Sus scrofa: one gene and its partner. The main gene of each other region encodes a partner of the protein of the gene in region 2 in a complex. Links are inferred from orthologs where the notes say so. Each region holds a gene or a part of one and is shown on either strand. Other genes may lie near its edges.

Region 1 (3,821 bases), on a different chromosome or scaffold from region 2:
CATAGCAATGTGGGATCTGAAATGTGTCTGTGGCCTACACCACAGCTCATGGCAACACCAGATCCTTAACCCACTGAGCGAGGACAGGGATCAAACCCAAAACCTCATGGTTCCTAGTCGGATTTGTTTCCACTGTGCCACGATGGGAACTCCCTCTAAATGGTATTCAGTGAATTAAGTTTAAGAATAACATAAGCAAAGGGGGACTGAATAGCCCTTTGGACAATTATTTCCTCAGAAGGAAAGAAAAAGGAAAGACATGAAAAGACCAAGGGAAAGATCTTTTCACCCTGCCCAGTTTGCTTGTTATCCTTCCTTCTGATTTTCCTTTAATAAAGGTGCATAGTGGAATGGCCAGGTAAAACATATACTATGACCTAAAAGTATATGTATATGTTCATTATACATGTGAGCATGACAACACTTTAGAGTCCTAGCTCTTTTGAGTACTGAAAAGCTTTTATTTTATTTCTACATCAATGTTTACCAAAGCTAATTATACGGTCTCAATTAGATGAGTCCTATTGTATTTGTACATTTCATTTGCAACATCAAACATTCCAAAATGTAACTTCTAAAATTTAAAGTTATGTATTTCCTACTGCTTGGTTCATGGGACAGTGAACAGTGTCAGCGTCTTTTAAGTGATACTGCTATTATATTTTATAACAAGATTCGTTTTTGCCATATGATCCGACCGCTCAGATCATCATATAATAATGCAAAGAGATTAAAGAAAGGACAGTAATAAAAGGTTGGTTTCTTATAAAATTTTAAAAGTTATTCTAAAAGATTCTTTTTGGAGTACAAAATTTGCATGGCCCATAAGTTTTCCTCAATACACTCCTGAAGTTCCCCACTCCTCCCTACACCTCTGTTGGGATGCACTGGGGGAAGGCCAACATCCGTCTGCCAAACAAACAGTGCTTGCCAGGCATGTCCCTCAGAACCAGGGAGCAGAAAGAACAAGCAGAAGTACCTACTTCTTTCAGTCCTAGGTCTGGATTTGATTAGGGCACTGCTTAATTTTTACTAAATCTACTTGAACTTAAGAGACAGCTTTGGGACAAGAATTGACGGAGTGGTGATTTTCAATTCTACAGACACTTAAGAACATTGCAAATTTTAAATGAATAGAATTCATTAAAAATATTTATACTTCTGTTTTAATAACATATATTTATGTATGTTATTTGTAACATATATATATATACACACACACATACATATATTTTTATCCTATATACACAGGATAAAAAAGGTTCTGGCGATAAAGCCCTTGTATTAGTTATAAATATGTATGATTAGGATCATATCTTACAATACACTGAATATGAGCATTAAGCTAAGATTTATAAGGTTTGTTACCCCTTATAAATCCATTAGATATTTGCAAGGTCATTTACCCTGCTAAAGATTTTCTAGTGCCACTGTCTATTGATTCCTGAAGCTATACTACTTAGCCAACATAAATTATCATTTTATATATTATTTAATGATGGGTTTTGTTAACTTAAAGAGGGATATGATGTTAAATAGGTTCAAAACCCCCTTGAAATATCACTCCATAATCCTCTCTCTACCAGTCAGAGGAGAGGATTGGAGAAGTAAGAGGAGACTCTTTAAATAACGAGATCACTAGCTGCATATGAGGCATTCTTGTGCTGTTTTCCTCTTTCTTTCAACCCCCACAGAAAAGCTGTACTGAGAAGTGAAAGACAAAAAAGATCCTATCAGTGGAAATGCAGGGGTAAAGAGCACCGCTAGCAGGGCTCTGGCCTAAGTGTTAAGAAATGCAGTAAATTGTAGGTCTGGGGACTGCTACCCCAGTGCTCAGGTCTGCTCAGTTCCTTTAACTGTGGAATGCCTTCATTTTCTATTTTATGAAGTGAGGTTAATATTTGGCCCCCTTTTTTTTGCCTCACAGAAACATATATACTTAGATAGATAGATGGGTGGATGGATGGTACAACCAGAATGAAATCTAAAAGCACCAAAACAATAGGTTGCAATTTACTGAGTGTTTACTTTATGACAAGCATCTAACCCACGTGGGCTCACTGAATCTTCACCCAACCCCATGAGGTTGGTACAAGTAATGTCTTCATTTCACACAGAGAAAGGTGAGTCTTCAAGAGACTGAGTAAATTGCCCAAAGTTGTGAACTTGGAGGAGTTTAGACTCAAGACTTGAACCTAAGGTTTCTGGTTCCAAAGCCTATGAATGTAAGCATCTGTGAGCTAAGGATAAGTAAGCCACAGAGATGCGGTTTTGTTATTCCTACTACAATACTTCTACTTGCCAGTGGAAAAACAGATACATGGGAAAAACTTACACCTTCCCAAGTCTATACTTAAAAAATTTTCAGAAATCATGATTTTGGTTTCATGAACTGGTAGAAACCTGAGTTAAATTTAACTAACTATGTTTAAAGTGTGTGTTTCCATTTTTTAATTTATTTAATTGAAAATTAATTTTAATTTTCAATTAAATAAATTTAATAAAATAAAATATGTGAACAGCTCAGAATAATTTACGTAAGTTTTTTTTTCTGTAATGTTTGTAGATCATATCAAAGCCTTCGGTGTTCTTGAAGTAAAAAGGAAAGAAAAAAACGTCATAAAGTTTTGGTGTGACATGGTGTGAGGTGGGGTAATAAACATACTTCGCTAACAAATGGTGAAGGTGCACAAGCTTCTAAAGCTTGAGTGAAAAATGAAAGGAGTTAGTAGTGTCCTAGAGGGCTGGCCTTGGGGTTTGATGGTGGAGAGAGAAGTGGGGGTTTATTACACCCCGGTGTGTGTTGAGGAGGGTCCAGGTAGATATAGCTTTAAGGCAGGCAATATTCTCAGCCGTCTTGGTTTTCTAAGTGTTTCAATTGTGGGATTGACAGAGGAAGGAAGGAAGGGAATTCCAGGTTTGTGCAAACCAGACAGAATGGAGGTTCCACAGCCCACCTGGGGGGCACCTAGGAGGGGCTCTGGGCCTCGGAAACCTGTTACCTTGAATTGAGCTCCAGTGAGGTCTCCGAGTCATCAGACACGTGGTCCACTTCCAGCCCACTCCCGACCATGCTGCAGTTCAGCCAGGCCGATCGAGTTCGCCGTTTCTTCTTTTCCTGCTCCTTGCGTTTCCCAGGTTTGCCTTTCTTTTTCTTGCCCGGTGTCTTCAGTGGCTGCTCTTTGTACGTCTCCACCTTGTTGGTTTCCTGAGTCAGGTATCTGCCCTCATCGTCAGACCCAAATCGGACAGGGTGGTTCTTGGTGTTGGGAGCAGGCTTGGAGTTGGGGGAAACCTCCGAGGTAGCTCTGATTTCAGCTGTGTGGATTTCTGCGATCAGGTGGTGAAGGAAGAATCGTCGCCGTAAATCTTGGATGGACTTCCCCTTGTCATGGAGGAGCTGGTGTTCAGACACGGCTCTTTTGCTTTAAGGGGAAAAGAGCAGGAGGGGGAGGAAACAATGACATTTTAGCAGCTGGAAGAGCCCAGAAGGACAGGCTCCAGGAGAGCCCATTAGCTGTCTGGTTGTCAGATACAGGGCACAAGCAGGGAGAGGTGCTAGCTGGCTGAGCAGGGAAGGGGCAAGAGGGGGAAGGAATAGCAGGCCATTAGGAGGCTTTGGCCTGGAGCCCCAGTTGTGCACCTTGCTAGATCTGTGACTTTGGCGTAAACATGTACATTTTTGGGTCTGGGGGGTCCCATCTCTTTAAGAGGAAAGGATGAGATTCAGTAATTCCTATGCTCTCATCTCAATTTAAAATATTATGATTGAAAGAAATGGACAGAAACCACTGACTGAGCTTCCTTTCACGGTTTTCAGA
Region 2 (3,821 bases):
CTTCAGAAAGGGATCAGGTCAAGGATGCTCTAAGATAGGAGGAAATATTTATGCCTCTCCAAACAGGGATTTCCATTTTGAGTTTGTGACCCAAGTCTCTGCTTTAGGGCATGATTAGCAATGTAAGGATAGGCTAACTGTCCAAATACAGAAGTCTAAATTAACAAATAAAGCAGTTCTACTCTTAAAACACTGCAATAGCTTGGTTTTTTTGTTCATGATGATAAAGCATAATCCTAACACCACGCATGTTACAACTAGAGGGAATCAGAAGCAGATAAGTTAGACACAGCACTTACTATATCTTGGCAAATGTAACCAATAGCTTCCAATGTCGACTCTTTCATGTGTTCTGTGCTGTTGGGATTCGTGACATTGGCCACCAGCTGAGGAATGAGTTCTGGCCACTGGTTCACTGGGATCTCTGCACAAGCAATACCTGCCACACACTGTGAGGCAGAACTAGGCCGGTAAGTTTCTGTGCCCAAAGTCTGCAAAACCTGTGCATGGACACACACAAAAAGACAAAAGATGTCAACTGTTCCTTACTGGAACACATTTTGCCTACCGGCACACCTCTTACATCAGCCTGATTTTTCTATAGTCAAGTAGGAAAAGGCATACATAGTATAGGCTTACTGTCAGGAAAAGTGCCAGCCTCAGTACCAACAGCAGCACAATCTGTGCTGCCCCAGAGGCTAGAAAATGAAAGCAACCACCCCCTTATTTCCAAATGGAATTCTCCAAAGCCAGACACCTCACCTCTATGGTCAACACAAGGCAGAAGAGTAGTAAAGGCACAGGTACAGATAAAGAATGAAGCCACAACTGACCCAAGGTTAATCATTACCATGATCAGCTAATTCAGTCAATGAACTCACTAAGAATCACTCAAAAGGCAAACAGTTAACTGTTCCTGGCATGAACACTGGACAAAGAGTAGCTGCCAGATTTTCAGGCCAGCTCTGCTGACTGGGTCAGGTCACTGAGTATCCTGCTTTGTAGCTAATAATGATGGACTCCCCATCTTTCCCCCTTATAGGGTACATCATCATCCCTGCCCATGCTCACTCCCAACAGCCCTACCCAGTAACAGTTCTGATGGATTCTAAATGAAGGTTTTGCTCTCTTAGGGGGACCGAAGCTAGACCAGACTTTAACAAAAACTCTAAGTCAGGAGTTCCCGTCATGGCTCAGAGGAAACAAATCTGACTAGTATCCATGAGGACACAGGTTTGATCCCTGGCCTTGTTTAGTGGGTTAAGGATCGAGTGCTGCCGTGAGCTGTGGCAGGCTGCCGACATGGCTCGGATCTGGTGTTGGTGTGGCTGTGGTGTAGGCCAGGGGCTATAGCTCCAATTCGACCCGTCGCCTGGGAACTTCCATGTGCCTCGGGTGTGGCCCTTTAAAAAAGCACAAAAAAGCAAAAAACAAAAACAAACAAAAAAAACCCCACTGTATGTCAGAGACACCTGGAGGTGGGGAAGAGGCAGGAAAGAGATGAACTGCACAAAAAGGGGCTGAATAAGTATTAATTCAGGTCTAAATGAGAAGTCCAGGGTGCCTTCATTCTCTATTGCACCATCTCCTAACGGATATGGGACACATACTGAATCCCATTCTATCTTTATCTTTTCTCCCTTTTTTGTTTTTGGCTGTACCTGCAACACGTGGAAGTTCCCAGGCCAAGGAGCGAACCTGAACCTCCACAGAAACCTGAGCCACTGCAGTCAGATCCTTAACCCACTGTGCAACAGTGGGAACTCCTCTCCTTTGAATTGCTTCTAGAAGACCCTTAATTAATATTACTTAAGGTGATTTAGAGACTACAAGTATTTAACTCCCGAGTACTGAAAGTTTTTTTTAAACTAGAAGTGGTGCTGATGATATAATTATCAGAAATAAGAGGAATAAGAAATTGGCTCTCAATTGTGTCTAAGACCTAGATTTCAAAAAAGAAATAACCACCAGCAGTAAGAATGTATTACCAGATGTGCTATGAAAGGGGAAAAAACCCCAGGATAATTGCTATTTTTTTCGTGCACGAAAGCTCAAGAACACCTATACAAATTCCTACTCAAAATAAAAATTTTGGGCGTTAAAACTGATGTGATGTGCCCCATCCCCCAAAAGTCAATTACAGCTCCCATCATGCCTTCTCTCATTTACTATTGTGTAATCTGAGGAAAATGAGAAATCGAATGGGCACAATAAGCATCAAGAGTTCCAGTGACTGATGTGAATAAACTTCATTTATATCAAATTACTGAGGGGAGGATTAAAATGTTATTACATAAGTAGACCCAATGTGGATAGAAATAGCTCTACATATTTCAAATAAGATTCAAAATAAGTTGGCTTTTGTAACCTAGTTTTCTGTCATGAGTCTCTCCATGCAAGACTGGAGAGGGAAGGAGGTACAGAATTAGAAAGAGAAGTTACCGCCGTAAGGGGCACTAATTTACCTACTGCTGATACCCAGAAGCAGGAAATAGCAAATATGATGTGCAGAAGCATGACCAGCTCAAGTACACATGCAGGAATCCCCCGACTGGTTTCCCCTCCAATACCAAGGACCAATTGATGACTGAGCAGGTGTCTGACTTACTACCCTCTGTGCACTATCCATGTAAGACAGGCCACTGAAGAACCAAAGTTTTCTTGTTTTTTTTAAAAAGCATTTGTCCATATATTCTGAATCCTTCTTTGTGCAGCAAGAATTCTGATTCAACAAGAAAGTCCCAAGAACTCTTTTTTTTTTTAAAGGACCACACCTGCAGCATATGGAAGTCCCCAGGCTAGGGGTCAAATTGGAGCTACAGCTGCTGATCAAATTGGAGCCAGAGCAACAGCAACGCCAGATCCGAGTGGCATCTTCGACCTATATCGCATCTTATGGCAATGCCGGATCCTTAACCCACCGAGCAAGGCCAGGGATGGAACCTTCCTGCACCCTCATGGATACTAATCGGGTTCTTACCCTGCTGAGCCACAGCAGGAACTCCCACAAGAACTCCATAATGCAGAAGAACAAGGGGCATTCAAATTTCCTCCAAAAACAAAAACAAAAAAAACCCAAAACAACAAAACAAAACCACTGCACACAAAAACCATCGGCTCACTCTTTAAACACTTTGACAAAAAGCTAAACGTTTCTCATACTTTGCTAAGTAGATAAAAGCATGATTAGTGTCAATCCTATTTCACAAACTCTTCAGGCTTAAAAGGCCCAAGAGAGACCATGCACGTCCCCTTCTGATTCCACACTGTGGAGTCACGGAACGATGAGAATTACCCACAGCAGCAGTTCAACAAGAGCTAGGTACTAGTTATAGTTAACTAAGGAAGAATCACTTGGGAAAAGACAGTTCGAGAAAGAAGACAAATCAAATCTTCAAGTTAAGTTTAGATTGCAGACATCTATTACAGTCAGTTCTATCCCACGTAAATGAAAAAAAGAACTGACCTTCTCTAGCATGACCAAAAGGAGATGAAAGTTACTTACATAATTCTTGACTTCCCGTCGAGCATTAGCATCAATAGCAAGCCACCTCTGCTGATACTGTGCCTTGATATCTGGATCTTTCGACGTCAAAGAGTTCTTGATTTGTAGACCAGCTGCAACTCTGGCAACCTGACTGTTTCCTGGATTTGCCAGCACTCTGGACAGTTCCACAAGGAAAGTGGGCTGTTATGAGAAGACGTGAAAGAAGACTGTCTCTTAGGAATTTCACCGATGGAAGAAAGCATCGAAACAATGGGGAAAACCTCAAGTTTTTAAGGACACATTATAATGTCTCATAAAATGTCAAAATATCTAC

What was found.
Region 1: the proteins of KPNB1 (region 2) and PTHLH are in contact, whole or in part, in a crystal structure (PDB 1M5N), measured with the Homo sapiens proteins. The link is inferred for Sus scrofa from reciprocal best matches to the Homo sapiens genes KPNB1 and PTHLH. Residues at the interface, in NP_002256.2 of Homo sapiens: Val55, Tyr104, Pro106, Gln111, Glu152, Tyr156, Gln159, Asn196, Leu199, Asn200, Gln239, Glu274, Gln278, Glu281, Asp288, Ile295, Ser298, Glu299, Asp339, Asp340, Trp342, Val350, Met353, Glu395, Trp430, Arg434, Glu437, Asn469, Trp472; in NP_945316.1 of Homo sapiens: Tyr103, Thr105, Gln106, Glu107, Thr108, Asn109, Lys110, Val111, Glu112, Thr113, Tyr114, Lys120, Thr121, Pro122, Gly123, Lys124, Lys125, Lys126, Lys127, Lys129.

The regions. Positions count from the first base shown.
Region 1 is NC_010447.5:45,757,520-45,761,340, reverse strand, and holds part of PTHLH (parathyroid hormone-related protein precursor), read right to left. Parts: intron 3,426-3,821; coding exon 3,003-3,425; coding exon of another isoform or gene 2,999-3,002; intron 1-2,998. UniProt on the Homo sapiens protein: Neuroendocrine peptide which is a critical regulator of cellular and organ growth, development, migration, differentiation and survival and of epithelial calcium ion transport.
Region 2 is NC_010454.4:23,918,499-23,922,319, reverse strand, and holds part of KPNB1 (importin subunit beta-1), read right to left. Parts: intron 3,689-3,821; coding exon 3,506-3,688; intron 501-3,505; coding exon 300-500; intron 1-299.